Macaca mulatta: one gene and its partners. The protein of the gene in region 1 interacts with the protein of each later gene in a pairwise test. Links are inferred from orthologs where the notes say so. Each region holds a gene or a part of one and is shown in the gene's direction. Other genes may lie near its edges.

Region 1 (4,308 bases):
GCCCTCAGGGACTATTCCGACAGGAGAGGACGCCCCGCTGCAGCTCCCCCCAGTGCCCCGGGTGAATGAACGGCATGAAGGATTAGGCGGGCACACGTTGTCTCTGTACGCATCGCACGGCGCCCTCTGCCCGCGCCCACTGGCGTGCCCGTCGGCATGCCCGGGCCCCTTCGAAGGCTGCTTGCTTCTGGAGTGCCAGCGGCCTCCTGGCCCAGTGCCCCATTTCCTCCCGGGTAGAGTGAGGGAGGAGGAAGGGAAGCAGAGAGGTAGGCGGTGGGAAGCAGCAGGCACATGTGCGCGGGCGAGAGCCCTGCAGACTGGGAAGAAGGGCCCGTGGCAGGGGGTCTGCGGAGATCCCATAGGCGCGGGCCTTGCCCCGCAGCCGCTTCCCGAGCAATGCGCACACAAAGCGCCCCCGGCAGTGCCTGGCCCCGGGCCCGCGCTCTCTTAGGGTCCGCTGCCGGGGCGGCCGACCGGGATGCGGCCGGGAAACCCTAGGCTCTGGGGCCCAGGAAAGGGGGGCGACGGCGGGGAGCAGGGATGTGCAGGGACCGGGCGAAGTCCAAGTGACTTAGGGACCAGAGCCACCCCAAGCGCCGACTTCGCCCGCTCGCACGTCCCGGGTCCCTAGCGCGCAGGCCCCATCCCTCTCACCCGGCTGGCTCAAGCGCGCCACAGGGTGACGTCTTGGCTCCCAGCCGTGTCGCCCTGACTCCCGCGCGGGCCCCGCCCCCTGCCGCTAGCCAATCTATGCGTTTGTGACTTTTGGGCCCGCAGCCCCGCCTACTCCCACTGCGATACCAGTTTGCATTGCCCTGACTCCCGCGCGGGCCCCGCCGCCTACGCCGCTAGCCAATCCGTGCGTTAGTGACGTGTGGCGCCCCTCGCGGCGCGGCTTGCTCCCACCGCGAGACCTTCTGCCCCGCGCCCGCGCGGGCCCCGCCTCCTCCATCGCTAGCCAATCCCCATGTTTGTGACGTAAGGGCTCTCCGCTCCGCTCGCTCCCAACGCAAGACCTTTTGCTCCGCGCCTGCGCGGGCCCCGCCCCCTCCATCACTAGCCAATTCCCGTGTTTGTGACATATGGGCTTGCGGCCCCGCCCGCTCCCACCGCGAGACCGGTTCCCACCACCCTGACTCCCGGGGGCCCGCCCCCTCTGCCGCTAGCCAATCCGTGAGTTGATGACGTTTGGGCTCGCGGCCCCAGCCTCCCAGCTCTCAAGGCCCGGCCGGTCTGTGCCGGCTACTCCCGCCGTTAGGTCCCGCCCAGCGCAGCGCGCGCAGCCTGCGAAGCCAGCGGCCGTGACGCGACAGCGATTCGGCTGTGACGCGAGTGCGGCCGCTCCCGATGCACTCGTGCCGCCCCCGCCGTGCTCCTAGGCAGCCGTTGCTCGGCCGGTTTTGGTAGGCCCGGGCCGCCGCCAGGCCTCCGCCCGAGCCCGCACCCGCCATGGACGACTACGCAGATCTTTCAAATACCGAGCTGACCGCCTTGCTGCGCCGGTACAACATCCCGCACGGGCCTGTAGTAGGTACGCGGCGGCGGGCGGGACCCCTTCCGGGCCCCCTCCTCGTGCTCCGCCCCGCGACCTCCCCGCTGCCCTCCCCGCGCCCCTTCCCCGGACCGCGGCCCTGACCGCCCCGTGTCCGGCCAGGATCAACTCGTAGGCTTTACGAGCAGAAGATCTTCGAGTATGAGACCCAGAGGCGGCGGCTCTCGCCCCCCGGCTCGTCCGCTGCCTCCTCTTATCGCTTCTCTGGTGAGAGCCTCGCCTGTGGGGACGGCCTGGGACGCGGGGAGGATGAGGTAGCGAGGGTGTGGCAGGGGTGCCGGTCGAGAGCGGCACTGGGGAAAGGGGAGGGAAGTCTTGGGGTGGGGGTGGGGGTGGGGGGGCAAACAGTTCTGTCTCCTCCTTTCAATCCAGACTTGAATTCGACGTCAGGGGATTCAGATATGTATGATCTTCCCAAGAAAGAGGACGCCTTACTCTACCAGAGCAAGGGTAAGGCAGGGGTTGGGTGGGCACGCTGGCACCTTCACCCGACTGCGTCAGGGACCCCGCTCACAGGGAGGACCTGAGACCTCAGTCCCAACCACTCCAGCAGCCTTAGGAGGGAGAAACTGTCACAGGTCCCGAAATGGGATTCAGATTAGGGCCATCGGGCCAGGCGGGGCACACCGATGCCCCCTCTGCTACCGCTGCCCCCCTTCCCAAGGCTACAATGACGACTACTATGAAGAGAGCTACTTCACTACCAGGACTTATGGGGAGCCCGAGTCTGCGGGCCCGTCCAGGGGCTTCCGCCAGTCTGTGACTTCACTCCCAGATGCTGACACTTTCCACCACCAGGTGAGCTGGTTGGCAGGCGTACTGTACTTGGGTACAACCTAGGGGATCGCGGCTGTGTTTGGATAAATCCAGGGGGCCACTGGGTACAAATGGTGGCCCTTGGGCCTCTGGGGAGACTTTGGCTCAGCAGACACCTGTTTGGTCAGGGTCCTACTTTGGGGAGCCCTCAGAACTATGTGACTAGAGCACATAGGATGCGTCCTGCACCCTGGTCTGGGATCTAGGCTCCAGCTCTTCCTGAGAGTCCTGGGGGCAAAGGGGGGTGCTGGGGCATGAGCACAAGTAGCAAGGCCCCATGGATAAAAGGCCGAACACCCAGAGTCATTCAGGAGGGTGTGGGTCCCTGGCCTTTAACCAAAGGTCAGAGGGGACCTGCTGGGGAAATTTGAGAGGGACGTGGCAGGGCCATTGTGGCCCTGCCAGCCAGTTCCCTCACCTTGACTCTCTTCTACAGGTACGTGATGACGACCTTTTGTCGTCTTCTGAAGAGGAGTGCAAGGATAGGTATGTATGTATGGGGAAGGCCAGGGACAGGGGCTGGTTCTGGACCCAGGCTCCTGGCCCACCTGTTCCCCTCTTTTGCCTCAGGGAACGCCCCATGTACGGCCGGGACAGTGCCTACCAGAGCATCGCGCACTACCGCCCTGTTTCAGCCTCCAGGAGCTCCCTGGACCTGTCCTATTATCCTACTTCCTCCTCCACCTCTTCTATGTCCTCCTCATCATCTTCCTCTTCATGGCTCACCCGCCGTGCCATCCGGCCTGAAAACCATGCTCCTGGGGCTGGGCTGGGCCAGGATCACCAGGTCCCACTCTGGGGCCAGCTGCTGCTTTTCCTGGTCTTTGTGATCGTCCTCTTTTTCATTTACTACTTCATGCAGGCTGAGGAAGGCAACCCTTTCCAGAGGGAGCCATGAGGGTCTGGGCTTCAGAGCCAGGTCTTCTGGGGAAGTCCTGGCTGACTGCCTTAGCAGTGGGGGTGGGGGTGGGGGTGGGGGCAGGGGCAGGGGCAGGGGCTTTTATGTGTTCTTGCTTGGGGGGCGCTGGGCCTAGCCCAGAGTAGTGCTTGCTCCCCCTGCCTTGTCCCACCAGGGAGGCAGCAGATTCAGGCCCTCCATGGGGGCCTGAGTGTGCTTTCCTCGGCAGCCTCCTGGCCCTGCTTGCCTGTAACCCTTAGGGTCCAGGAGGGCAAGGCCTCGCTCAGTCAGAGGAGAACATGGTTCTTGTTGTCATGCATGCCTCCTTTTTGTCATCTTGTTGGGGGGGATTAACCAAAGGCCACCCTTTGTTTTCGTGGACACACAATAAAAACCCCATTTATTTTTAATGCGTTGGCTCTTCCTGGAGGAGAGGGTTGGGCTCCCATGGCAAGGGCCTCTGCGTCTTGGGACTCGAGGATTGCAATCTGGCTTTGTTGGGTCCGCATTTTTGCTTTGGTCTGGGGATAGGAATCAAATGCTACCCAGAGATGTTTGTGTTTTGTTTGGGAGTTTTATTCCCTAACTCATTCCCCAAAGCACCTGTAACTGCTTATACATATAATTGTGGTACAACAAGGCGTATACAGAGAACCCACTTAGAAATTCAGGCAAAGCAGCCGGGCGCGGTGGCTCAAGCCTGTAATCCCAGCACTTTGGGAGGCCGAGGCGGGCGGATCACGAGGTCAGGAGATTGAGACCATACTGGCTAACACAGTGAAACCCCGTCTCTACTAAAAATACAAAAAAGTAGCCAGGCAAGGTGGTGGGCGCCTGTAGTCCCAGCTACTCGGGAGGCTGAGGCAGGAGAATGGCGGGAACCCGGGAGGCGGAGCTTGCAGTGAGCCGAGATCGCACCACTGCACTCCAGCCTGGGTGACAGAGCAAGACTCCGTCTCAAAAAAAAAAAAAAAAAAAATTCAGGCAAAGCTGCATGCATGCTACCAGCAGTCTGCGGGTGTTTTAACTGGAAAAAGCTGAA
Region 2 (4,474 bases), about 39 Mb from region 1:
AAATGTATTAATTTGATCTTTATTTCTACTGAAGAGCCAGTGACAAGATTTCTCTAACATTTTAAAACAGCGTTTGATTGAGCAGTATTAGGTGATAACAGGAACAATTACATTTTTCTTAAGAAATGTCATGGACACAACTTTAAGGCCATCGAACAGCATGTGGCAGGTCGGGTATGGTGGGTCATGCCTGTAATCCCAACACTTTGGGAGGCCAAGGTGGGAGGATTGCTTGAGGCCAGGAGTTTAAGATCAGCTTGGCCAACATGGTGAGATCCCCATCTCTACAGCCCGAGAGGAGCCTGGGAGGTTAAGGCATGCCAACCTGGGCAACAGATCCAGGAAAGAAAGAAAAAAGAAAGAAAGGAAGGAAGGAAGGAAAAAAGGAAGGAAGCTAGCAAGGAAGGAAGGAAGGAAGGAAGAAAGGGAAGGAAGGAAGGAAGAAAGAGGAAGGAAGGAAAAGAAATAGCCGGGTGCGGTGAGGGAGGGAGGCCGAGGCGGGTGGAAAAAAAGAAGTTAGGAAGAAGGAAGGGAGGGAGGGAGGGAGGAAGGAAGGAAGGAAGGAAGGAAGGAAAGGAGAGAAAGAGGGAAAGAAACAAAAGAAAGGAAGGAAGGAAGGAAGGAAGGAAGGAAGGAAGGAAGGAAGGAAGGAAGGAAGGAAAAGAAATAGCCAGGTGTGGTGAGGGAGGGAGGCCGAGGTGGATGGAAAGAAAGAAAGTAGGAAGAAGAAAGAGGGAAGGAGGGAGGGAGGGAAAGTGTGGGCACGGTGGTATGAGGGCAGCCGAGACGGGTGGATCACTTGAGCCCAGGAGACCAGCCTGGCCAACATGGTGAAACTCCATCTCTACTAAAAATACAAAAATTAGCCAAGCGTGGTGGCACACTCCTGTTATCTCAGCTACTTGGGAGGCTGAGGTGGGAGAATCACTTGAATCTGAGAGGCAGAGGTTGCGGTGAATGGAGATGGCACCACTTCACTCCAGCCTGGGCGACAGAGAGAGATTGTCTCAGTAAAAAAAAAAAAAAAAAAAAAAAAAAAAAAAAAAGAGGAAAGAAAGAATGAAAGATGAAAGAAAGAAACAGAGAAAGAAAGAAAGAAAAGAAAAGAAAGAAAAGAAAGCATGTGGCATTGCAAGCCTGTGAATCCTCCCTAGATGTAAATTTGGGCTCGCTCTTGGAATTTGAGAGAAGCAGAGCACCAGCCCATTAAGTCAAGAATATAAGGTTTTATTCCCCATGAATGCCAACAGCAAAGAGGAGAAATGGGTTCTAGGAACTGTGAAAGGCAAGGGTCGGAACACCACATACACTAGAAACTTGTAGCCAACTAGGTAGTGTTCTGGGTGGAGACAATATTTTTAGAAAGGGGTATGCAGTGGGAGATGAGCGGGTCTTTCCTTTTTTTTTTTTTTTTCTAGTGAGCCAAGCTCCTGATAGGAGACTTGGTGAGAGGTATACGCCAAGCTCCACCCCTTGGGGCTTAGCAACAGCAAAGGAAGAGGCTATGATTGGAGGATCAGGTTAGCCCACCATGCTCCTCCCGCGCGGTGAGGGGGCGGTACACGCGCCTGAGCTCGGAGTGTGACGCCATGATACAGAGGAGATGGCTTCGTTTCAGAAGCTAACACTTCCTGAAAAAGTGTCGCCAAATCGTCCCAGTCGGAAAAAGGTTAACTTCCTAGATATGTCTCTAGGTATGTAGATCTCGGATCCCAGTCCCCACTAGTTTGGGCTCACTGGTCTTGAGCGCAAGACCTCGGCATACCGCTGACTAGAAGTGGCGTCGGGAGGAGCACACCGCTTCAAGGAGAGGCTTCCCCCTCAGGGCATCTCCGCACCTGCCCGGCCCCTATCCCTCCTCTCCTCTTCTTCTCCTCACCTCCAGCCCTCTCCTTTCAGGTGGGGAACTCTGAGGGAGGCTGACAAAAAGTGCGTGGGGATTAAGGATTGCTGAAAGGGGCAGGCGGAGAAAATAGACCATTTCCGTGTATTTTACTCTCCCAAGAATTGATACCTAATTACTGGCCTCCTTCAAACACATGGGGCCAAGTGCTCTTCTCAGTCCAAGCGGATGTCATAAATCACTAGATTCCAGGGCCCGGAGGAGCAAGCCTCAGGCTATTTTGCTAGGGATTCCAGCGTGGTAGTGCCAAGAGTTGTTGGTGGGTTGGTGTATCTGCTTTGTTGGAAGGGGTGGTTGGTGCGTTTATTTGCTTGTTGGCTGGTGGTTATTCGCTCTGGATCGCCTTTCTTTGCAGGCACTCTCTAGTCTCTAACTTGAGACCTCTACACGGAGAGTGGAACCTTAGAAAAAATAAATCCTTTATCAATGCCCCTAACCTCCTCCATTCGCACCAAACCCAGAAAAAGTGAATTTTACTCGGACCAGTTCCTCTGCTATTATCCACCTTAGAAATGGGGAAGAGGGGAGGGAATAGACTTTCCAAGCCAGATAGGGAGTGAGCAGAGCTGAGTAGAGGATGGAAGCTGACTTTAGAAATGGAGAGGGGCATCAGAGCACGGAAGAAGGAAACTGTAGAAATGGGGGAAGGAGGACAAAACAGAAAAGGCCTACTTTATTTATTTAGGTTTGTGTGTCTGTGTGTGAAACAGGGGCTTGCTCTGTTTCTCAAGCAGGTGTGCAGTGGCATCATCTTGGCTCACTGCAACCTCCACCCCCTGGCGTCAAGCGATCCTCCCACCTCAGCCGCCCGAGTAGCTGGGACTACAGGCACATGCCACCACACCCGTCTAGGTTGTTTTTTGTTTTTGTTTTTGTTTTTTTGTATTAGTAGAACGAGGTTTCACCATGTTGCCCAGACTGGTCTCCTGGTCTCAAGTGATCTGCCCCCCTCGGCCTCCCAAAGTCCTGCAATTACAGGCGTGAGCCACCGCCCCCAGCCTGGTTAGTTGTTTTTGAGACAAGGTCAGGGACTGTTGTCTGGGCTGGAGTATAGTGGCACGATCAAGGCTCACTGTGGCCTCAAGCTCTCAGGCTCAATCAAGTGATCCTACCACCTCAGCCTCTAGAGGAACTGGAACCACAGGTGCTTGCCACCACACCTACCTAATTTTTAAATTTTTGTAGAGAATGGGTCTCCTTATGTTGCCCAGGCTGGTCTCGAACTCCTGGCCTCAAACAATCCTCCCGGCTCGGCCTCCCAAAATGCTGGGATTGTGGGCCTGAGCCACCGCGCCTGGCCAGGGGCCACTTTAGAAATGAGAGAGGGAGAGGCAGAGCAGTGGGAGCTGAGCTTCAATGTGGAAGTGCAGGGGTGGAGCGAGGAGAAGCAGGAACAAGGAGGGCGGACCTTAGAAATGGATGGAACAGTGGAAAGAGGGTTCACCTTAGAGATGAGAATAGGGGAGCAGAGCAGGGAGGGCTGAACTTTAAAAGGGGCAGGATAAGTGGAGGGAGAGTGTACCATAGAAATGAAGAAGTTTGGCTGGGCTTGGTGGCTCATTCCTGTAATCCCAGCAGTTTGGGAGGCTGAGGTGGGCGGCTTACTTGAGGCCAGGAGTTCGAGACCAGCCTGGCCAACATGGTGAAACCCCATCTGTACTAAAAATACAAAAATTAGCTGGGCATGGTGTTGTGTGCCTGTAGTCCCAGCTATGTGGGAGGCTGAGGCAGGAGAATTGCTTGAACCCGGGAGGTGGAGGCTCCAGTGAGTTGAGATCGCGGCACTGCACTCCAGCCTGGGTGCCAGAGTGAGACTCCATCTCAAAAAAAAAAAAAAAAAAAAAAAAGTACTGAAATGAAGAGGGGCGCTGTGGCTCATGCCTGTAATCGTGGGAGGCAGAGGTTAGGCTGGTCTTGAACTCCTGACCTCAAGTGATACGCTTGCCTCGGCCTCACACAGTGCTGGGATTACAGGCGTGAGCCACCTCGCCCGGCCTAAACTTTCTTTATAGTGTCCTTTGAAGTCCTGAAGTTTCAGATTCTGATAAAATACAATTTATCTGTTTTTTTGTTGTTGTTCATGCTTTGGAGTCATTTCTAGAAAATCATGAAGATATACCCTTGTTTCCTTCTGAGTTTTCTAGTTTTAACTCTTACATTTACATCTTTGATCCATTTTGAGTTCATTCTTGTATATGGGGTGAGTTAAGAGCCAACTTCATTATATTGCATTTTGATGTCTAATTGTTCCAGCACTACTTGTTAAAAAGACTAATTTTCCTCCATTGAAAGCTCTTCTTGGTGGAATTGCTTTCTTAATTTCATTTTTGGATAGTTAATTGCTGGTATATATAAATAGAATTAATTTTTGCATATAGATCTTGTATCCTGCAACCTTGCTGAGCGTGTTCATTAGTGCTAATCTCCGTGTGTGTGTGTGTGTGTGTGTGTGTGTATCTTTAGGAATTTCTACATACAAGATCATGATATCTGAGAACAGAGATAGTTTTACTTTTTTCTAATCTGCTTGTCTTTTGTTCTTTTTGACTAATTGCTCTGGATAGAATTTCT
Region 3 (3,703 bases), on another chromosome or scaffold:
AGCGAAAGGGTAGCTTAGAAGCTTTCCTTCCAGGGCTCCCCTGCTATGCTACCCTGAGCCATTTGATAAAAATGGAGGTAAAAAGAGGACTTGAGGCCAGTCTGATTCTTTCTTGTCCTAGTCTAGAGAAAGAAGAGAAGATCCTCTTCTATTCAGCATCCTTTGTCATATTTGCTCCTGCCTGCCTCCTGAAAGAGTTCACTGTTTGAGCATCAACCATGTGCTGGGCAGTAGGATAGGAATATAGAGTCAAACTCTTTGCAGACTAGATTTTGGCCCACACTCATTAACTCATCCCATTTGCTCCAGGGACAACTTAATGAAGACAAACTGAAGGGGAAACTGAGATCCTTAGAAAACCAGCTGTACACCTGTACCCAGGTAAGCATTCTGAAGGATATTTCCGTCTCGGGAATCTAGAATTAAATGTGAAGAATGCTTGAACCTCAATCTTACTTTTGAGAAATGCCACCAGATAGAGAATAACACACCCATTCCTACTTACCCAGTTCTGGCTTGGCCATTTTCACTTTAGTCTCTAATTCACTAGATCACTGTCTCCATCCTTCTTCCTCTCCCTTTCTCCCAGTATCCTTCTCTTTGCACCCTGGAGGAATCCCAGCACTAACCACTTTGTCAGCTCCAGGGGAACCTTGAGAATACCTGAAACTGTAGGGAAAGGCCCTTGGTAAAGATTCACAACACCCAGACAGATCTTTACACATCCTAATCTTTGAACAGATGAGTTAGATGTTATAACGAAGTCTTAGAAAATGATTTTCATTCCATGGGCAACTTTTTTTGTTTTTTCTAGCAACCCCTAGAAGAATGTAAAAGCTCTTTTACTTGGCTCTTCTGTAACACCATTTTCCAGCATTAGTAATCTCCTGATTGGCCTAATCTTGGTTTACAAGAGATAGAAAGAAATCAGCTTTCACATTTGAGAAGTGATGGATACCTGACAGGTGGGAAGATGTCAAATAAGAGAATGGGGCGGAACAGGCAGACTTCTCCCATCTGGAGTTAGAGAGAGAAGACAGTTGGCCACATAGATGGCGTCTCACAGGGGAAGAGAGTTTATGGAGTCTATAAGTTTCTTGGTCCACAACTTTCATTTATTCAGTATGACTTGCTTTGACAGGACTAAATAATGCCAACCAAGTTCACAAGAGACCAATATATAATCCAGAACGCCAATCTATTCATTTTCAATAAGGAATAACACATAACCAGTGCCCAGCATGGATGGTCATTGGATGTCCAATAACTGGGACATCCCCTACATATGACCTCAACCAGGTTAATTCCTGAATCTAGTTTTTAATGAAAGTTCCAAAACTATAAGACCCACTCAAATTTAAATCCAAAATTTCAGACAATTCCAAAGCTAAATGGAAATGATTTCATATTGATCCCTAAATTTTTGTCATCTGGTCTACTGCTTACACAGTGGGTAATCCAGAATTGACAGTAAAATCTGCCTGCCTTCTCCGAAATCACAGGACACAAAGATGAAAGAAAGGGAGAAGGCAAGACCCCCAGTGAATGTGCAAAGCTGCACTTGTGTCTCCTTAATCCTGCAGCCAGGAGGAATTTTATAACGCGAATGTATTAATTTTAAACCATTAAGTTCATTAGGCATTGTAGAGAAGCTACAGTGATTTTTTTTTAAAGCAGCAGCAGTATGCTCCCTCCCTGAAGGAGTTTACAATCCAGTAGGAAAAACAGATGAGTCAACAGAGTAGAATAATAGAGGCATGCAGGGTACACTATGTGAACACTATGAACACTAAGAAAAGCTGCCTAATCTATAAGACATTGTGGGATGGGGGCAGTTGGTCAATTTATCAGAACTGATGATACTGGACTGAATCTTGAGTGTGAGTAGAAGTTAACCAGTTCTAGGCAGAAGAAGCTATATGGGTAAAGGCAGAAGCCAAAAAAACAGAGTGCTAGGGGATCTGCAAACATCTCAGCTTAGGTGGAAGTAGCATGGGATGAAAGTCTAGGCATGTAAGTGGAGCCATGACAAGGAGTTTGGATGTGATTCTTAGGATGCTGAGAATCCATGGAGAATTTATGCAGGAAGTGGCAAGATCAGATTTGCATTTTAGAAAGAACCTTCTAAATGCGGGACTGAAAAGGGACTGAAGGGAGGCAAGATTTGAAGAAAGGGAAGCTGTTGCATTAATCCACATAACACTACTACTAGAGCCTGAACTAAGGAAGCAGCAGTAGGGATAGAGAGGAGACAGATATGAACTATGAAGGAAACTGTCAAGGTTCAATGACCAACTGATTACTGGAAGGAAATGAGAGAGAAAATGAAGATTGACTCCCTGGTTTAGGGTTTGGAAAAGACTAGATGGATGATGATTCTGGTCACTGAGATAGGAACCCCAAGAAAAAAGAACTTGTTTAGAAACATGAGTCCTGTTTAGACATGTTGGATTTCAAGAGCTTGTGGAAGGCCTCAGATATAATGCCCAGCAAGCCTAGGGCACTGTTTATTATACCCCCCCACTCATCTCTCATTGCCTGAGGGACTCTCCCTGCTAGCTCTACCCTAAAAGAAAAGGCTCACTAGATTACTGGTATCTCTGCCTGGGGGAAGAACCAACTTCTTTTCATTTCTGTATCCCAGTTCAGGATTTGGCACACAGAAGTTCAATGTGTATTTGTTGAATTGCATCAAATTTACAGAAATACTCCCCTTGGGGAATGAAAAAAGTACTACTGGAGATGGAAGACCAGAAAAACAGCTATGAGCAGAAGGCCAAGGAGTCACTGCAGAAAGTGCTGGAGGAGAAAATGAACGCAGAGCAGCAACTACAGAGCACACAGGTATGGGGATGCCACACAGACCTTGGGGTTGGGGACTCCAGGCAGCTTGGGGAACAAGGGAGCCAGCTGCACAGCTCCCTGGAACCTCTCCTCTCTGACCCCCCTCAGCGATCCCTGGCCCTGGCAGAGCAGAAGTGTGAAGAGTGGAGGAGCCAGTACGAGGCTCTGAAGGAGGACTGGAGGACCCTTGGGTCCCAGCACAGAGAGCTGGAGAGCCAACTCAACGTGCTTCAGTCCAAACTGCAGGTACCAGGCACTGGGGGTGGGGAGGGAAGACAGGGTATGGGGAGGAGGGGTGGTGATGAAGAAGCTCTTCTGGATTAGGGACTCCAAAGGCAGCTGACAGCATCTGGCTTTCAGTTCCTCAGTCACCACCTACTTTGTACCAAATTCACTGTTTTGGCTCTGAAATTTAATTTCGAGTTTAGCAAGGATGTCTGCACTGCTCATGCAAATGAACTAAGCGTTCATTGGAATGACACCATCACCATCCAAATGAAAAGAACTGGCTGGAATATATATCAGCCTACTAATGTCATATCCCAACCCACTCTCCAAACTCCATCCCAAAAAAGCATCCAGTTCAGAATTGCCCACTGTTGGCACAGAAAAAATGTCACTAATTTATTTACAGGTGAGTACTAACTAACACTTTTTGCCAATGTGTTTTTTAAGCAATTACATTTAGCAATTACAATTAGACTCCTGGCATCCTCAAGGGTTCCATCATCTTCAATCTGTCCTAAGACTCGGTTTCCCCATCTGTAAAATGAGGATAATAGTACTTACATCATAAGGTTGTTCTGAGTATTAAGTAAGATGATCCATGTAAAGTACTTAGCACAATGCCTGGCACATA
Region 4 (3,703 bases), on another chromosome or scaffold:
GATTTCTCTCTACTGCAGACATTAGCTGGCTAGTAGCAAAGGGATGTAATTACAGTGGCCACATTTACTGAATGCTTACTATGTACCAGCAGTTAAGCACTTACATGGATTATCTCATTTAGACTTTATAAAAACCTCACAAAGCAAGTAGTATGGTGAGGTTTGATTTATAGTTAAGAAAACTGAACATGAGAGAGGTTTAAAAAAACATCTCAGAAGGTACAACTGTAAAGTGGTGCATTTTTATCACACACGCTCTGCCTCTAAAGCCCAGATCCATTACCATTACCTATTGGTCTGGTTGGCAGACCACACAGGTTCTAGGCTTGGCTCAGGTACAGACTTGCTCTGTGTTCCATCTATGTACAATAAATAATGTCAATGTCCTCCAGGGGAAAAAAAAAAGCCCTAAGAACACACCTGTAGTTGGACAAGATTGTATTTATTGACTCATTGCAACAAGTGAGAATATAAAGCATGGGAAAGTGTAAAGTACCTTGAAAAGTTATTACAGGATTTGAGCTCATGTTAGGTGAGGACACGGGAGTAAATCTATTGAATATTTTAATAAATCTTATCTAGAAGGTGGGAAGAACAGAATGACCCAAAAGCTGCTGGAAAAAAAAGAAAAAAGAAAAAAACAAAACAAAACAGTTTTTTGGTTTAAAAAAATCAACCAGGATAGGGGGATGTTGGGTCATTTTCGTGATTTAGACAACGTTCTTGTCTGAGTCCAAACATTATAAAGTGGCCTTGTTTCTGCTTTGATCCAAAGTCACAGAGTAGCCTTGTCTGATACTGTGTTCTTTGATATTACCGATGTCCAACGGAACACCAAGGCCTAGCTGACAACGCCTGACCAGTCTCTGCGGCTTTTCCCTTGCTTAATAACAGCAAGCAGTTGCAGCACACTGACTGTGTACCATGGACTGCTCTTAGTCCGTACGAGCATTAAACTCAATTTTAATCTTCTCAAGAAACTCTGACATGGGTACTAATTTTATAACAAGGAAATAGGCCGAGAGGTTAACTGGCTTACCTGAGGTCACCCCGCTGAAAAATGGTGGAGACAGGTTGAGAACGCAGGCACCTTGGCACTCAGCTGAGGCTCCTCACCACCACCCTAGACTGCCCCTCAGAAACCAAGAGTTCTTTCAGAGGTAGAGAGGCAGAGCAAGCTCTTGAGCCTGCCTCCTGAAACCCTGCCTTTGCTTCTCCTTTCAGCTCCAAGACTGCCCTGCGCATTGGGAGCAGCGATACCCAGCTGGATGAAGTGAAATCAGTACCAGCCAAAAGCCACCTGGTGAACCACCTCAATTGCCCCATGTGCAGCCGGCTGCGCCTGCACTCATTCATGCTGCCCTGCAACCACAGCCTGTGTGAGAAGTGCCTGCGGCAGCTGCAGAAGCACGCCGAGGTCACCGAGAATTTCTTCATCCTCATCTGCCCAGTGTGCGACCGCTCGCACTGCATGCCCTACAGCCACAAGATGCAGCTGCCGGAGAACTACCTGCGCGGGCGCCTCACCAAGCGCTACATGCAGCAGCACGGCTACCTCAAGTGGCGCTTTGACCGTTCCTCCGGGCCCATCCTCTGCCAGGTCTGCCGCAATAGGCGCATAGCGTACAAGCGCTGCATCACCTGCCGCCTCAACCTGTGCAACGACTGCCTCAAGGCCTTCCACTCGGATGTGGCCATGCAAGACCACATCTTTGTGGACACCAGCGCCGAGGAACAGGACGAGAAGATCTGCATCCACCATCCATCCAGCCGCATCATCGAGTACTGCCGCAATGACAACGAATTGCTCTGCACCTTCTGCAAGTTCTCTTTCCACAATGGCCACGACACCATCAGCCTCATCGACGCCTGCTCCGAGAGGGCCGCCTCACTCTTCAGCGCCATCGCCAAGTTCAAAGCAGGTCCTCCCCTTCTCCACTCCTTCAGCCTAACTTCTAGTTCAGGAACACATGGGGAAGATGGCGTGGGGCAATGTGCTAAGTGAGTGCCTTAACAGATTCCACCTAGTGGAGCAATCAAGGCACCAGGAAACACTGTGCTATCCTGCAAGTCACTATCCTGGTGTCCGCTCCTGGTAACCACTACCAGTCACTTAACTTCTCCGTGCCTTGCTTTTCTCACCTATGAAATAGGGGAATAGTAGTGACCCCCTCACTGGATTGCCATGAGGATTAAGTGAGTTACTCTATGTAAAGAATGCAAAAAGTCATATGACAAGTGCATAAAGATTCTATAATCTTGATTATAATCTGCATGTCCTCAGGTCTCATTTTCTCTTTTGGAAAATGAAGACTTTGATCCTATAGTATACTGACGTTCTGTGATGTTCTAAGGTGTTCTGTCACTGTTGGATCGCTTTGGTTTTCCTAAATGTGCAGGGGGAAAGAATTAAGTCAGTGCTGAGAATTATCTCAATGTTAAATTTCCCTCCATGAATTTTTTCCAAAACTTGCAGATGCCAAAGTAAATAAACTGGCAGCAAACATATAACAACAGGGACAATTCATAACTAGCCAACGGTATTCTAGTCAACAGCTTGTTTTTCCTCTGCATTCTTGTTCGTGGTGATTTGGTTGTTTTATATTGTTACATATAATATTGCTTTAAGTGAAATAATATTTCAGTGATGGTTTCAGTGATGGAACCAAGCATAATAATATTTCACAGGATTCAGCAAAGAGCCCATAATTTCTTGTTTCAGTGACAAAACCAAGTATAATCATATTTCACAGGATTCAACAAAGAGCCGCATAATTTCTGGGTATGTCTCTACCTGGTCAGACATTAGAATCCAAAAGATTCCTTTAGTGCCCTTTACCCTCAGGAATAGTTCCTTGTATAAAGGCCAACTTTACTCAGGCCTGTGGAGCACATTTTGTCTAATCTCAATAGTGCTACAGTACAGGCATTAAAATGTCCTCCATGGATAAGCCAACTGTGGTTCAAAAAAATAATTAGGACAGGCAGCTAATAAGTGGCAGATGCAGTCTATTTGACTCCAGTGTCCACCATTAATTCCACAACATTTATTTGACAATCTACTCTGTGCTAAGCAGTGACCAGAATCTGAAGATGAAGAGATTGAAGGGGAGGAAGGGGGAACCACCACCACCATCCATGGTCTGTTTCATTAAGGAGTGGCCTGCAGTCAGTTACCAAAGTGCACCAGATCAACCCAGGCCTTTCCCATTGTCAGATCTGTTAGTCTCCAACATTCAGATAGGCCTATACATTGGGAGGGAGGCAGCTTTTCCTTGAGCTGCACAGAAAGGTCCCACTGGATATAAAGGTGGATCCAAAACAGACTTTGCTAATGACCACATCACCCCTGACTTCTCAGCAGCTTCAGGAATACCTCGAGTTTTCTCAGTTGCCACATACCTGGAAACATTGCTTGTCAATTGACATTTATTTAATTCTGGAACCACCACCAGGGAATACTTCATATTAAAGGAACCCTGCAGGAGCCACATGTTATCAAGAAAATGGTAGAACTGTTGGTTCCAAAAGGGTTTTCTGAAGGTGGGACTCACTGCTTCCCTAGGCCAGGGCTTGTCTGAATTCTTTGGCCAAGCATGGCAAGGGTGCTGCTCTCTACAGCCTACTATGCCTTCCATCCCTCTGTAGGGAACCTTGTCCTTAATACATGTGAAACTTAAGATAGTTTTCTGAGTCCAGGGCA
Region 5 (4,487 bases), about 2.6 Mb from region 1:
CCAAGGTGGCCCTCCAGAAAGCTCAAATTTCATCGCAGCTGCTCCACTAGATCTGGGAAGGGCTTCTTTGGGGCCCCCAGGAATGCAGGCAGGGCCTATATCAGCTCTGCTTCCCAAGAGCTCGGCCCCAGCGCTGGACAGGTGAGGTGGGGGCAGGGGACAGGCAGCCTCAGACCATGCTGCCCTATCTCAGCTAGTTCTGACCCCTTCCTTTGCACTCCCTCTCCTTCCTTCCTTCCTTCCTTCCTTCCTTCCTTCCTTCCTTCCTTCCTTCCTTCCTCTTTTCCTCCTTCCTTCTTTCCTTCCTTCCTTCCTCCCTTCCTCTTTTCCTTCCTTCCTTCCTTCCTTCCTTCCTTCCTTCCTTCCTTCCTTCCTTCCTTCCTTCCTCCCTTCCTCTTTTCCTCCTTCCTTCCTCCTCTTTATCCCACCTGACCCAAGGGCTCTGGGGGAAGAAGAGGCTATTTCTAAAAGGAACGTTTTATAAACCTGTCCTGATTCCTTTCACAAATAGCCTCCTATTCCCCCAGGGGCTCTGGGGTTGTTTCCTAGAATGAAGGGTTCACCATAGGTCGTGTAGCAATCAGTGTTTTCCAGAGAAACAGAACTGATAGGATGTATATATGTATGTATGTATGTATGTATGTATCTGCATATGCACAAGTATATATACATTTATTTTAATAAATTGACTTATGCAATTGTGGGGCTGACAAGTCTGAAATGTGCAGGGCAGCCTGGCAGGCTGGCAACTCAAAGAAGAGTTGACACTGCAGTCCTGGGGTAGAATTACCTCTACTTTGGGAAACCTCAGTCTTTGCTCTTCAGGCCTCTCAGTTGATTGTGTGAGACCAACCCACATCATCGAGGATGTGTCTCTACTTTACTTCAAGTCCACTGGTTGTAGATGCCAACCACAGCTACAAAATGCCTCCACAGCAACACCTAGACTAGTGTTTGAAGGAGTCACTGGGGACTAGAACCTGGCCAGGTGACACATAAACCTGACCATCACAGTGGTCTAATCAGTAGGGAAACTGAGGGAGAATTGGGACTTAGAAGGTGCAAGGCCTGAGGCCCCTGGGAGTTCTAGTGGCTGCAGTCAGGTCCCACCTCTCTTACCCTTCTCTCCCTTTGTTCTCATGGCTCCTGCCTAGTCTGACCTACTTCAGAAAAAGGCTACCTCCCATGTCTGGGGACTCTGGATGGGGGAGGTAGGATATGCTCTCCAGAGAATCCCTTCTGAAGGTGTGGTATGGCCTGGATTGCTAGGACCTAACTCTGCTGTAGCCACTGCCTGGCTCTTGGACCCTGTGCCAATCCCTGTTTCTTCATAGAAATGATGGAGGGTAGACCCCACCCTTCCCCCCATGGGCTAAATATGGAGATTTATGAGCCAGAGCAGTTCTCACAGTCAAAGGCATGGAATTGTATCTCTTCTCCTAAGTTGCTTACAGAGTAGCAAGGAGAAGGCCACGGACCTAGCCAACAAGATACAATAGAAACAGAAAGTGCTGAGTCCAAGGCCTCAGCCTAGAGAGGGAGTCTTGCTCCACCCCCAGGTCTGACTATATCTTCCTTGAGCTCCTGTTCCAGGAAGAGGTGATTTTCTGAGTGTGACTCCTCTGTTCCTGGCACCCTGTACATCCTTAGCCATAGCTTACAAGTGAACAGCTGGTTGTGATGGCAGGAGGCCCTCCCAACACCAAGGCAGAGATGGAAATGTCCCTGACAGAAGAACTGAATCATGGACGCCAAGGGCAAAACCAAGAGCACCTGGTGATAGCGGGTGAGGATCCCCTAAAATACCCCTAGGCTACAGCCAACTGTGTAGATACATGTCTGTACCTGTGCATGTGTGTGTTGGGAAAGGTGCATGTGTGCATGGAAGTGTTTGCACATCTGTGTGTTGGGCGGGCTTTGAGGATTTGTGGGTTGATGGTAAGGGATCTAGGAGAAAAGGGATAGATGATGTGAGCATTTTGCCCTGGGAGGGAGGAGGATGGGAACAACATGTGTGGTCCCTCTGTCTTCCCCTTGTCCAAGCCACCACAGTGTCTGTTGCAAAATACTCAGAGGGCTCAAATTATGAGACCAGAGATCAATTCTCTCTCCCAACCCTCGAATTCATTTTCCTGCCATTTGGAGGAAAATCCAGACTCCATGATCTATAAGATTGTATCAGCCTCCTCAAAACATTTCATACTATGATATAGACAGAAAATACCATTTCTATAGCACACAAAGGGATCCAGATCACATTGCATTTATGTTTGTTCTTACAATGCTCCAAGCCTGCTTCTTCCCCAAAGACCTTGCATTTGCTGTTTCCTCTGTCTGGAATGCTCTTTCCCTCAATTTCCCAGGGCTGGGTCCTTTATTTTTTTCAGGTCCCTGCCTCAATTGTTGTCTCCTACTTTTCTAGAAGGAGCCCTTTCCTTCCACTATGTTACCCTGTTTTGATCATTTATGGAGCCTGCATCTCTCTGTCTGCATTTGCAAGGATAGACCTTCTGTTTTACACCTGTCATTCACTCTTATACACAAAACAGATGGTCAGTTCCTTGATAGCTGGAATCTTGTTCTTGGTCATTGCTCTCTAGATTACTGGAGAGTAACCTAGTCTCGAGCTGAGCCCTCAGGATTCTTGTTTAACTTTTGAACAGATGAACAAACTGAGACCTGGGATCAGCTGGTGGACAGTGGTTAATGGGTGCTGAGTGATTCCCAAGAAAGCTGGGGACTCTGTCTTCTTTTTGGTGTGTTTTGTGCCCAAGAAGCCCTGGTACAACTTCTATGGGTGCTCCTGGGGTCTCTGTTCTTCTCTCTAGAAATGATGGAGCATGGATCTCGGTCCCTGGGTGCCTCCCAGAAGAGGCAGAAGTTGGAACAAAAAGCTGCTGGCTCTGCTTCAGCGAAACGAGTTTGGAATATGACTGCCACCCGATCCAAGAAAATGGTACTGCATGGGGTCCTCAGCACATGTTGGCCAGGTTGGGGTTGGGAGTACTGGTTGTAGGGGCTGTAGCCTGACCAGGTCAGGCAGGGCTAGACATTGACTTGTGAGGAGGAGGAAGCTCCTGTATTCCAAGCTGGCAAATGAGGACAGAAAGGTCAGGGTCATCCTTTCCTATGCTTGGGATGCAACCTTGGGAGTTCAGAACGCCTGAAACAAATATTGCATGGGGAGTACATAAATATTTCACTCTGTAAATCCATTGTGTGAAATAACGCTTCCTGTATTTAAAATTGTGTGTGTGGTGCGTGTGTGTGTATACACACAATAACTCAGGTGAGGCTCCTACGCTTTCTGGCTGTTAAGAAATCCAGTCAAGTCGTCTGGCATGGTGGCTCATGCCTGTAATCTGAGCACTCTGGCAGGAAGAGGTGGACGGATCACTTGAGGCCAGGAGTTGGAGAACAGTCTGGCCAGCATGGTGAAACCTTGTCTCTACTAAAAATACAAAAATTAGCTGGGCATGGTGGCACATGCCTGTAATCACAGCTACTCAGGAGGCTGAGGCATGAGAATCGCTTGAACCTAGCAAGCAGAGGTTGCAGTGAGCTGAGATCATGCAACTGTACTCCAGTCTGGGCAACAGAGCAAGAGAAAGAAAGGAAGAGAGAGAGAGAGAGAGAGAGAGAGAGAGAGAGAGAGACAGAGAGAGAGAGGGGGAGAGAGAGAGAGAGAGAGAGAGAGAAGAAGGAAGGAAAAGGAAAAGAAAGGAAAGAAAGAAAGAAAGAAAGAAAGAAAGAAAGAAAGAAAGAAAGAAAGAAAGAAAGAGAAAGAAAGAAAGAAAGAAAGAAAGAAAGAAAGAAAGAGAAAGAAAGAAAAAAGAAATCCAGGAAAGTGAATCTGACCATTTTGTAGCCAGTCCTTTTAAGCTACATTCGATATGGGTGAAGGAATGTTTTAGAATAAATAGTGGCTATACTGTTGCAAATGATATTGGGAAAACACAGTCATTTTGGATGGGGAGGGAAGCCTGACTATTCTAGAGAATTAAGTGAGTCCCACAGTTCTGTAGCCAATCATTTTAGCTAGCTAAATTCACTGTGAGTAAGGGAAAGTTTTACAAAAATTGTTGTTATGCTGTTGCAAAGGCTGCTGGGAAAAGGCAACAAGATTGGAGAGGGAGGGAGGTCTGACTGCTCCAGGAAATCATGTGAGTCCCACAGTTCTGTAGCCAATTCTTTAAGCTACATTCATTGTGGGTGTTGAATCTTCTAGAAAAATGCTGGCCACATTGTTGCAAAGGATACTGAGCCATTTTGCAGAGGAGGTAGACCTGACCGTTTTAGGGAATCATGAATCCCATAATTGCGTAGCCAATGTTGTTCACCACATTCAGGTGGATGAGGGAAAGCGTTAGAAAATGGTGGTTTTACTGTTACCACAGTAAAGTTTGAAAGTTATTGGGGGGCAATAAGGTTGGAGAGGGAGGGAGACTTGATTGCTGAAATGATTTATTGGGTAGCCCCAGTGAAGA
Region 6 (4,213 bases), on another chromosome or scaffold:
TATTAGACTTTTAGACACTCCATGAAAGAGTGTGGGCCCTGTTACTTTAGAAATATACTTGGGGACTGGCAAAAACTGTCATCTCTGATTTTAATAGTGGACACATTTACTCCCTGCTTCCATTCTCTGGGCTACTCTGCGCTCTTGGAGCGAGATGGGAAATTTTGTCAGGCCGCAGCAAGGGCGGATTTATACTGATGGTCCTCAAACTTGCCCCGGGCTGCTTCCAGAAAGCTAATCGGATTATTTGTACTCGGTTCCCAGCAATATCCTTTGCAGTCAGCTTGTCGCTGGCGCGGATCGCAAGAACTGAAACGCCTTAAGGGTGGGGACGGCGCCCCCTGCTGGTCGCGCCCTCGGGCGACGGTAAGAGATTGAGGACTCGAGCCCGCGCGGGGAAAACGGCTATGGGCTTGGCTTAGGGATGGTTCGCAGGTCGCCTGGTAGGAGCAGGACCGCCGGGGCCTTGTCCGTTCTGTGGTTACGTAGGTCATAGAAGGAAAATTGGTTTGTGATCTGATGGGGAATCTGTGAGGACAGACCCAGGGAGGGCAGAACTAAGCGCACCGCCGGGGGGGTCGCCAGAATTGGAGGCGTGTGCGCCTCTGACAAGTATTTGCAACGTAAGTATGCATATGGATAATGTATCAATACACATGTGTAATAGATGCCAAACAAATTATTCAAATAATTGTCACACATTTAAATTTTCAGACATTCACAAAATCAAATGTAAAATATTAAACTGAAAGTTCGCAATTTAAATTTTCAAAAATTAAATCTAATTTCCAAAATTAACCGTTTTCAAAATTAAATTTTAAAATATTCAAAATTCCAAGGTAAATTTCCAGAAATAATTAAAACTTCAAAACTCAAATCTTTTAAATGAAATGTATAAACTTTAAAAGGTGAGTCATTCCTCAGCTGGAATCGCAACCAGGGCCCTCGAATAAAATGCTATTTTGATCGCTAGAACACACAGAAACTTCCCTAAAACTGCTCTACAAAATTCCCTAAAAACCCGGCATCAACCCGCCTTTAGCGGCGTTCTATAGGGTAGGTTGTATCTGGGGATCTGCCTTTTCTGGTTCTGCCTGTCCTGAGTTGGAGATGTAACAGGGAATCTGTGAACCTAAAACAAGCTTCCTATCCCGCTTCCACGCTCTAAATCTGGCTTTCCACCTGACACCCCACTTCCGCCCTCTCCCCTCGGCCTTCCCCTTGACCCGACTGCATCGCCAATCATATCCTTTCATTTGTCATCACCGCCTTGGCCCCGCCCCCTCGTCTCAGGCCGTCGCACACGTTTTGCGTCAGTAGGCAAGGCACTTTACGGCCGTCGTGCCGCTCATGTCAGTCAACATGGAGGCAGAGGAATCGGAGAAGGCCGCAACGGAGCACGAGCCGCTGAAAGGGACAGAACAGACACTAGACGCGGAGGAGGAGCAGGAGGAATCCGAAGCAGCGGCCTGTGGCCGCAATAAGCGGGTAGTGCCAGGTATTGTGTACCTGGGCCATATCCCGCCGCGCTTCCGTCCTCTGCACGTCCGTAACCTTCTCAGCGCCTATGGCGAGGTCGGACGCGTCTTCTTTCAGGCTGAGGGTAAGTATGCAGACCCTGACGGTGAAAGGAGGAGGTTGTCGCTCGCTGGCGGGGTGCAAGCATGGATGTCCTGTTGCTTCGCTGCGCAAGACTGAGGCACGAGTTGTTGGATTTTGGGGGTGGGGAGTGCGGTGCTCGGCTCCTGGCTGGTGAATCAGTCTGTGAGGATGCTGGGGTGGGTGGGCGGAGGGGATATGGGGAGAGTGGGTAGCGCAGTGCGTCTGGTGGTTCTTTAGTTCTCGGATTGTTACTATTCGTGTTTTTATCCCGGCCCTGCTCACCTCTCTTTCCGGATCTGTTTACTGGTTTGTTACATGAGTACAACAGAGTAAAAGCCTCGTTAGCTTTTCTACAAAACTGAACATACCCCTTTAGCATCGCGGCCTAGGTCAAGAAACTGATCAACCGCCCTTCCTCTTTCCACCGTCAATTTTACATTGAGGTTGGGGACTTGCGCGGGTGTTAAATAGCGTTCAAAGCCGGCCAGATTAAGGAGTGGACAATTAAGGAAATAATTGAGTTAGCTAGAGGAAAGGGTGCAATTTACAGTTCCCTCCCTCCTGGGCAAAAACTCTCAGGTGGAACTCCCGCTGGCAGATGTGAAGAACGATGCGGGCAATGGGAAGTGGTTTTGAGTGAGTGCTGCATAGTCCCTGACGGGTCTTTTTGTCTTTGGCGCTCAGATCGGTTCGTGAGACGCAAGAAGAAAGCAGCAGCAGCTGCGGGAGGAAAAAAGCGGTCCTACAGCAAGGACTACACCGAGGGATGGGTGGAGTTCCGTGACAAGCGCATAGCCAAGCGCGTGGCGGCCAGTCTACACAACACGCCTATGGGTGCCCGCAGGCGCAGCCCCTTCCGTTATGATCTTTGGAACCTCAAGGTGAGGAGATAGATCTTTCTGCCACACCTCTCACCCTCCCTTCTCCCCAGCTCTGGCCCAGGTATACCCATGGCTTCTCATTGGTCTTGTCCCCTGTCTCATCTTTCTCCCTAATCTGCACTATCCTGATCTTTTCTTATTTTCTGCCCACAGTACTTGCACCGTTTCACCTGGTCCCACCTCAGTGAGCACCTTGCCTTTGAGCGCCAGGTGCGCAGGCAGCGCCTGAGAGCGGAGGTTGCTCAGGCCAAGCGTGAGACCGACTTCTATCTTCAAAGTGTGGAACGGGGACAACGCTTTCTTGCGGCCGATGGGGACCCTGCTCGCCCAGATGGCTCCTGGACATTTGCGCAACGTCCTACTGAGCAGGAACTGAGGGCCCGGAAAGCAGCACGGCCAGGGGGTCGTGAACGGGCTCGCCTGGCGACTGCCCAGGACAAGGCCCGCTCCAACAAAGGGCTCCTGGCCAGGATCTTTGGAGCCCCACCACCCTCAGAGAGCATGGAGGGACCTTCCCTTGTCAGGGACTCCTGAGGGCCAGGGTGGCCCCTTCCAGCTCCTAGCCCTGCTCTGCTTCCTGTCTACCTCATACTAGAATGATCGTGACTATCCAGGCAAACATTTTACTGTGTTTCTCAGACCAGGTGTCTCTGCTAAGGGCCCAAACGTGCAAGTTTTGAGGGCTTCCACTATCCTCACTCCGAACTCCTGTATATGCCTGGCTGAGTCACCTAGTTCATACTGTCATACTAGCATGATTATGACTATTGCATATGCTTGTTTTGTTTGACTCTTGGCTGCCTACGTCTATAGGGTCCCCTAAAAATCCCACGTTCTGCCCCCAGGAACGGGCCTTTATTTCCAACTAGGGGGATAATGCCTGCAATAATCCCGGCAATCTTTCTCTGTTTAGCAGTCACAGGTGAGGGTGGTATTAGCATCTTTTTTATGTAGAAAAAATTGACAGTTAATGGCGTGGACTGAGTTGGGAAGAAATACATTTCCTAATGTATTTATAGAAAATAAAAATATTTTTTATGCCTTTTTATTTTTGTTGGGGAGGGTCATTGGACAAGTTCCAGCTTTCATCTCCTTGTGTTCACCTTCATCTCCTGATCTTAGAGCCCCCCCGCCCCCGCCACCCACCTTACTGTTTAACCTGGATTTTTTTTTTATTTAATTTCTATTATCTTAGCCCAGTTTATCAATTAGTTATCTTAAGTCAGCATTTTCTAAGCCATTGTTTGAGGAAACAATGACAATAGGTAATAACACATCTTAGTATTAAGAGTTTTACAGGCCACTAGTATAAGATAGGCATCGTGGTAGATGCATATACGGGGTGGAATGGGGGCCACAGCATGTCATAGAGCCCCTCTCAAGGGGGACGTGATTGATGATCACAGTCTTCAGTGGTGAGTCAGTCCTCACCAAGTTTTCCAGGTCATTCCTACAAAATAACTGTAAGAATAATAAAGAAGAAGTTTGAAAGAGTCTGGAGTGCTCCCACAATTGCAAACAATGCTTCCTGGGTGGAGTGTTGAGTTGGAACCATTGTAAAGGTGGGCAAAGCCTAGTAGAGAACCAGTGCGCCTCAGGTGCACTTGTATATAGTGGGGCTGAGGCAAAGGAGCCCTGTAGGCTTCAAAGAATCAGTGTAAGCTACTAAGAGGAACTGAAAACCTAGGTGTCACAATAAACAGTCTACACAGTTTCATGTAGACAAAAAT
Region 7 (2,250 bases), on another chromosome or scaffold:
CAGGGAAGCTGTAGAAGGGATTTCTGTATTGGAAAGAGATGGATCTCAGTTGCCTTTCAACTTCTTGTTCTAGAGTCCCTCTAATGATACCCCTTTCCTTGTTTCCTTTCAGATGGAGGAACAAATTCTGAAACGTGTGCGGAGGAAGATTCGAAATAAAAGATCTGCTCAAGAGAGCCGCAGGAAAAAGAAGGTGTATGTTGGGGGTTTAGAGAGCAGGTATGAAAGGGAGAGGGACTCAGTTTTAAGTGTTAGGTTTTTGAAGGGAGGACACAGGCCATATCCCCATATCTTTGTTATTTCCCCCAGGGTCTTGAAATACACAGCCCAGAATATGGAGCTTCAGAACAAAGTACAGCTTCTGGAGGAACAGAATTTGTAAGTATCCCTCCAAACCATTCCCTTCCTACGCTCCTCATTTAATGTTTTCTCACTCTTTCCCCTGCCCTACACTTGATTTCTAACAGGGTGGCTGCCTTCACTAGGTCTCTGATTCTAAGAAGCTCACAGTAGTGGGGAATATATTTATAAGTAACTGAGAATAAGCTAAGTACCTAGAAAAAGAAAGGGGGTAAGAAAGACCTCATGGGCTTTCATAGGATTCTGGGGTTGGGTTGGGAAAGCATTCTAGGCAGAGAGAAAGCATCCTAGGCAAGAGGATTAGCCCAGCATAGTCCTCTTGGGCTGGAACACATGTGAGCTGGGACAGAAGGTAGAGAACGTAGAGAATGCCCGGTGAGGATTATGTGCATAGCTGATCAGACAATGGGGAACTACTGATGATATTTGCAAAGGAGGTTAAGTCCTGGAAGAGTTTGTTTTGTTTTGTTTTTGCTTTTTTTGTTTGTTTTAATGAGGAACTTCAGGCATTTTTTCCAGAGTGGAAGAAGTCGTTTGCAAAAATAGAATGAAAAGTAAGAGAGAGGATCCAGTGCAGAGATGGAGGAGGTGGCCTGAACAGGAGTTTCACTGTGTCTCAGGGTGCTAGGCCAGGGGATGCTCACCATTGGCCCCTCTCTTCCTCTAGGTCCCTTCTGCATCAACTGAGGAAACTCCAGGCCATGGTGATTGAGATATCAAACAAAACGAGCAGTAGCAGCACCTGCATCTTGGTGAGGATAGTGATGAGGGGAGAAATTCTTTTCTCAGTTGCTGGGGACAGTTGTGCAATCCAGAGCCCTTCTTCATCTCCTTTTTCCTCTGCTGTAGGTCCTACTAGTCTCCTTCTGCCTCCTCCTTGTACCTGCTATGTACTCCTCTGACACAAGGGGGAGCCTGCCAGCTGAGCATGGAGGTAAGAGGCTTAAGGATAGCTCTCAGACATGGGCAAGGGGAGAGGCCTGGGTTGGCCTCTGAAGATTCTTTGTCTCCTCAGTGTTGTCCCGCCAGCTTCGTGCCCTCCCCAGTGAGAACCCTTACCAGCTGGAGTTGCCTGCCCTGCAGTCAGAGGTGCCAAAAGACTGCACACACCAGTGGCTGGACAGCTCAGACCACGTACTCCAGGCCCCTGGCAACTCTTCCTGCCTACTGTACTACATGCCTCAGGCTCCCAGTGCAGAGCCTCCCCTGGAGTGGCCATTCCCTGACCTCTTCTCAGAGCCTCTCTGCCGAGGTCCCATCCTCCCCCTGCAGGCAAATCTCACAAGGAAGGGGGGATGGCTTCCTACCGGTAGCCCCTCTGTCATCTTGCAGGACAGATACTCAGGCTAGATATGAGGATATGTGGGGGGGGTCTCAGCAAGAGCTTGTGGGGCTCCCCATCTGTGTCCAAATAAAAAGGGGTGGGCGAGGGCTGGCTGCAGCTCCTATGCCCTATCAGGAGGACTGAGGGCTCAAACACACCACACTTACTGGCTTTCTGGGTCTTTTATTTGTACCCATGTGTCTCACCCCATGAATGTACCTGGGGAAATCAACTGACCTCCCTGAACATTTCATGCAGTGAGGGAACGGGTGAGGAAAGAAATAAATAAGTGATTCTAATGCTGCCTAGGTCACCCTCAACCCCCATTTACTGGCACAACTGGGTGGGGAGAAGGGAAGGGGTATGATTGTCCTGATGGCTCAGGGTTGCAGAAGGTTCAGAGGGGAAGGAGGAAAGGCCAGGCTGGAGGCTGGGCTATTAGTGCTTTCCTCCCACAGTTCAGACGGTTCACTCTGGGCTCACGTTTGCCATGGCTTCCTTTGGTCCAAACATAGGCCCTGTCCTTAGTCCTGTGCCCTGTTCGACTTTTGGCCTGGAGGCCTTTT

What was found.
Region 2: the proteins of EMD (region 1) and LUZP4 interact in binary tests that used the Homo sapiens proteins (3 or more experiments, as listed by UniProt). The two-hybrid records come from large-scale screens. The link is inferred for Macaca mulatta from reciprocal best matches to the Homo sapiens genes EMD and LUZP4.
Region 3: the proteins of EMD (region 1) and TRAF3IP3 interact in binary tests that used the Homo sapiens proteins (3 or more experiments, as listed by UniProt). The two-hybrid records come from large-scale screens. The link is inferred for Macaca mulatta from reciprocal best matches to the Homo sapiens genes EMD and TRAF3IP3.
Region 4: the proteins of EMD (region 1) and TRIM42 interact in binary tests that used the Homo sapiens proteins (3 or more experiments, as listed by UniProt). The two-hybrid records come from large-scale screens. The link is inferred for Macaca mulatta from reciprocal best matches to the Homo sapiens genes EMD and TRIM42.
Region 5: the proteins of EMD (region 1) and FATE1 interact in binary tests that used the Homo sapiens proteins (3 or more experiments, as listed by UniProt). The two-hybrid records come from large-scale screens. The link is inferred for Macaca mulatta from reciprocal best matches to the Homo sapiens genes EMD and FATE1.
Region 6: the proteins of EMD (region 1) and ABT1 interact in binary tests that used the Homo sapiens proteins (3 or more experiments, as listed by UniProt). The two-hybrid records come from large-scale screens. The link is inferred for Macaca mulatta from reciprocal best matches to the Homo sapiens genes EMD and ABT1.
Region 7: the proteins of EMD (region 1) and CREB3 interact in binary tests that used the Homo sapiens proteins (3 or more experiments, as listed by UniProt). The two-hybrid records come from large-scale screens. The link is inferred for Macaca mulatta from reciprocal best matches to the Homo sapiens genes EMD and CREB3.

Annotation. Positions count from the first base shown.
Region 1 is NC_133426.1:160,532,361-160,536,668, reverse strand, and holds EMD (emerin), read left to right. Parts: upstream 1-1,351; 5' UTR 1,352-1,449; coding exon 1,450-1,531; intron 1,532-1,654; coding exon 1,655-1,759; intron 1,760-1,924; coding exon 1,925-2,002; intron 2,003-2,216; coding exon 2,217-2,350; intron 2,351-2,804; coding exon 2,805-2,854; intron 2,855-2,938; coding exon 2,939-3,266; 3' UTR 3,267-3,673; downstream 3,674-4,308. UniProt on the Homo sapiens protein: Stabilizes and promotes the formation of a nuclear actin cortical network. Stimulates actin polymerization in vitro by binding and stabilizing the pointed end of growing filaments. Inhibits beta-catenin activity by preventing its accumulation in the nucleus.
Region 2 is NC_133426.1:121,839,357-121,843,830, forward strand, and holds the start of LUZP4 (leucine zipper protein 4), read left to right. Parts: upstream 1-1,557; 5' UTR 1,558-1,603; coding exon 1,604-1,694; intron 1,695-4,474. UniProt on the Homo sapiens protein: Export adapter involved in mRNA nuclear export in cancer cells. Binds and enhances the RNA-binding activity of the nuclear RNA export factor NXF1. Can restore mRNA export function in cells compromised by loss of mRNA export adapters.
Region 3 is NC_133406.1:67,527,524-67,531,226, forward strand, and holds part of TRAF3IP3 (TRAF3-interacting JNK-activating modulator), read left to right. Parts: intron 1-309; coding exon 310-381; intron 382-2,703; coding exon 2,704-2,844; intron 2,845-2,952; coding exon 2,953-3,090; intron 3,091-3,703. UniProt on the Homo sapiens protein: Adapter protein that plays essential roles in both innate and adaptive immunity. Plays a crucial role in the regulation of thymocyte development.
Region 4 is NC_133407.1:43,688,743-43,692,445, forward strand, and holds part of TRIM42 (tripartite motif-containing protein 42), read left to right. Parts: intron 1-1,224; coding exon 1,225-1,922; intron 1,923-3,703.
Region 5 is NC_133426.1:157,951,470-157,955,956, forward strand, and holds the start of FATE1 (fetal and adult testis-expressed transcript protein), read left to right. Parts: upstream 1-1,592; 5' UTR 1,593-1,680; coding exon 1,681-1,786; intron 1,787-2,828; coding exon 2,829-2,956; intron 2,957-4,487. UniProt on the Homo sapiens protein: Involved in the regulation of endoplasmic reticulum (ER)-mitochondria coupling. Negatively regulates the ER-mitochondria distance and Ca(2+) transfer from ER to mitochondria possibly implicating it in the regulation of apoptosis.
Region 6 is NC_133409.1:156,468,370-156,472,582, reverse strand, and holds ABT1 (activator of basal transcription 1), read left to right. Parts: upstream 1-1,355; 5' UTR 1,356-1,362; coding exon 1,363-1,603; intron 1,604-2,286; coding exon 2,287-2,483; intron 2,484-2,636; coding exon 2,637-3,017; 3' UTR 3,018-3,529; downstream 3,530-4,213.
Region 7 is NC_133420.1:63,959,867-63,962,116, reverse strand, and holds the end of CREB3 (cyclic AMP-responsive element-binding protein 3), read left to right. Parts: intron 1-112; coding exon 113-219; intron 220-309; coding exon 310-378; intron 379-1,027; coding exon 1,028-1,112; intron 1,113-1,209; coding exon 1,210-1,294; intron 1,295-1,375; coding exon 1,376-1,710; 3' UTR 1,711-1,732; downstream 1,733-2,250. Other genes in the region: GBA2 (non-lysosomal glucosylceramidase), read right to left, coding at 2,153-2,250. UniProt on the Homo sapiens protein: Endoplasmic reticulum (ER)-bound sequence-specific transcription factor that directly binds DNA and activates transcription. Plays a role in the unfolded protein response (UPR), promoting cell survival versus ER stress-induced apoptotic cell death.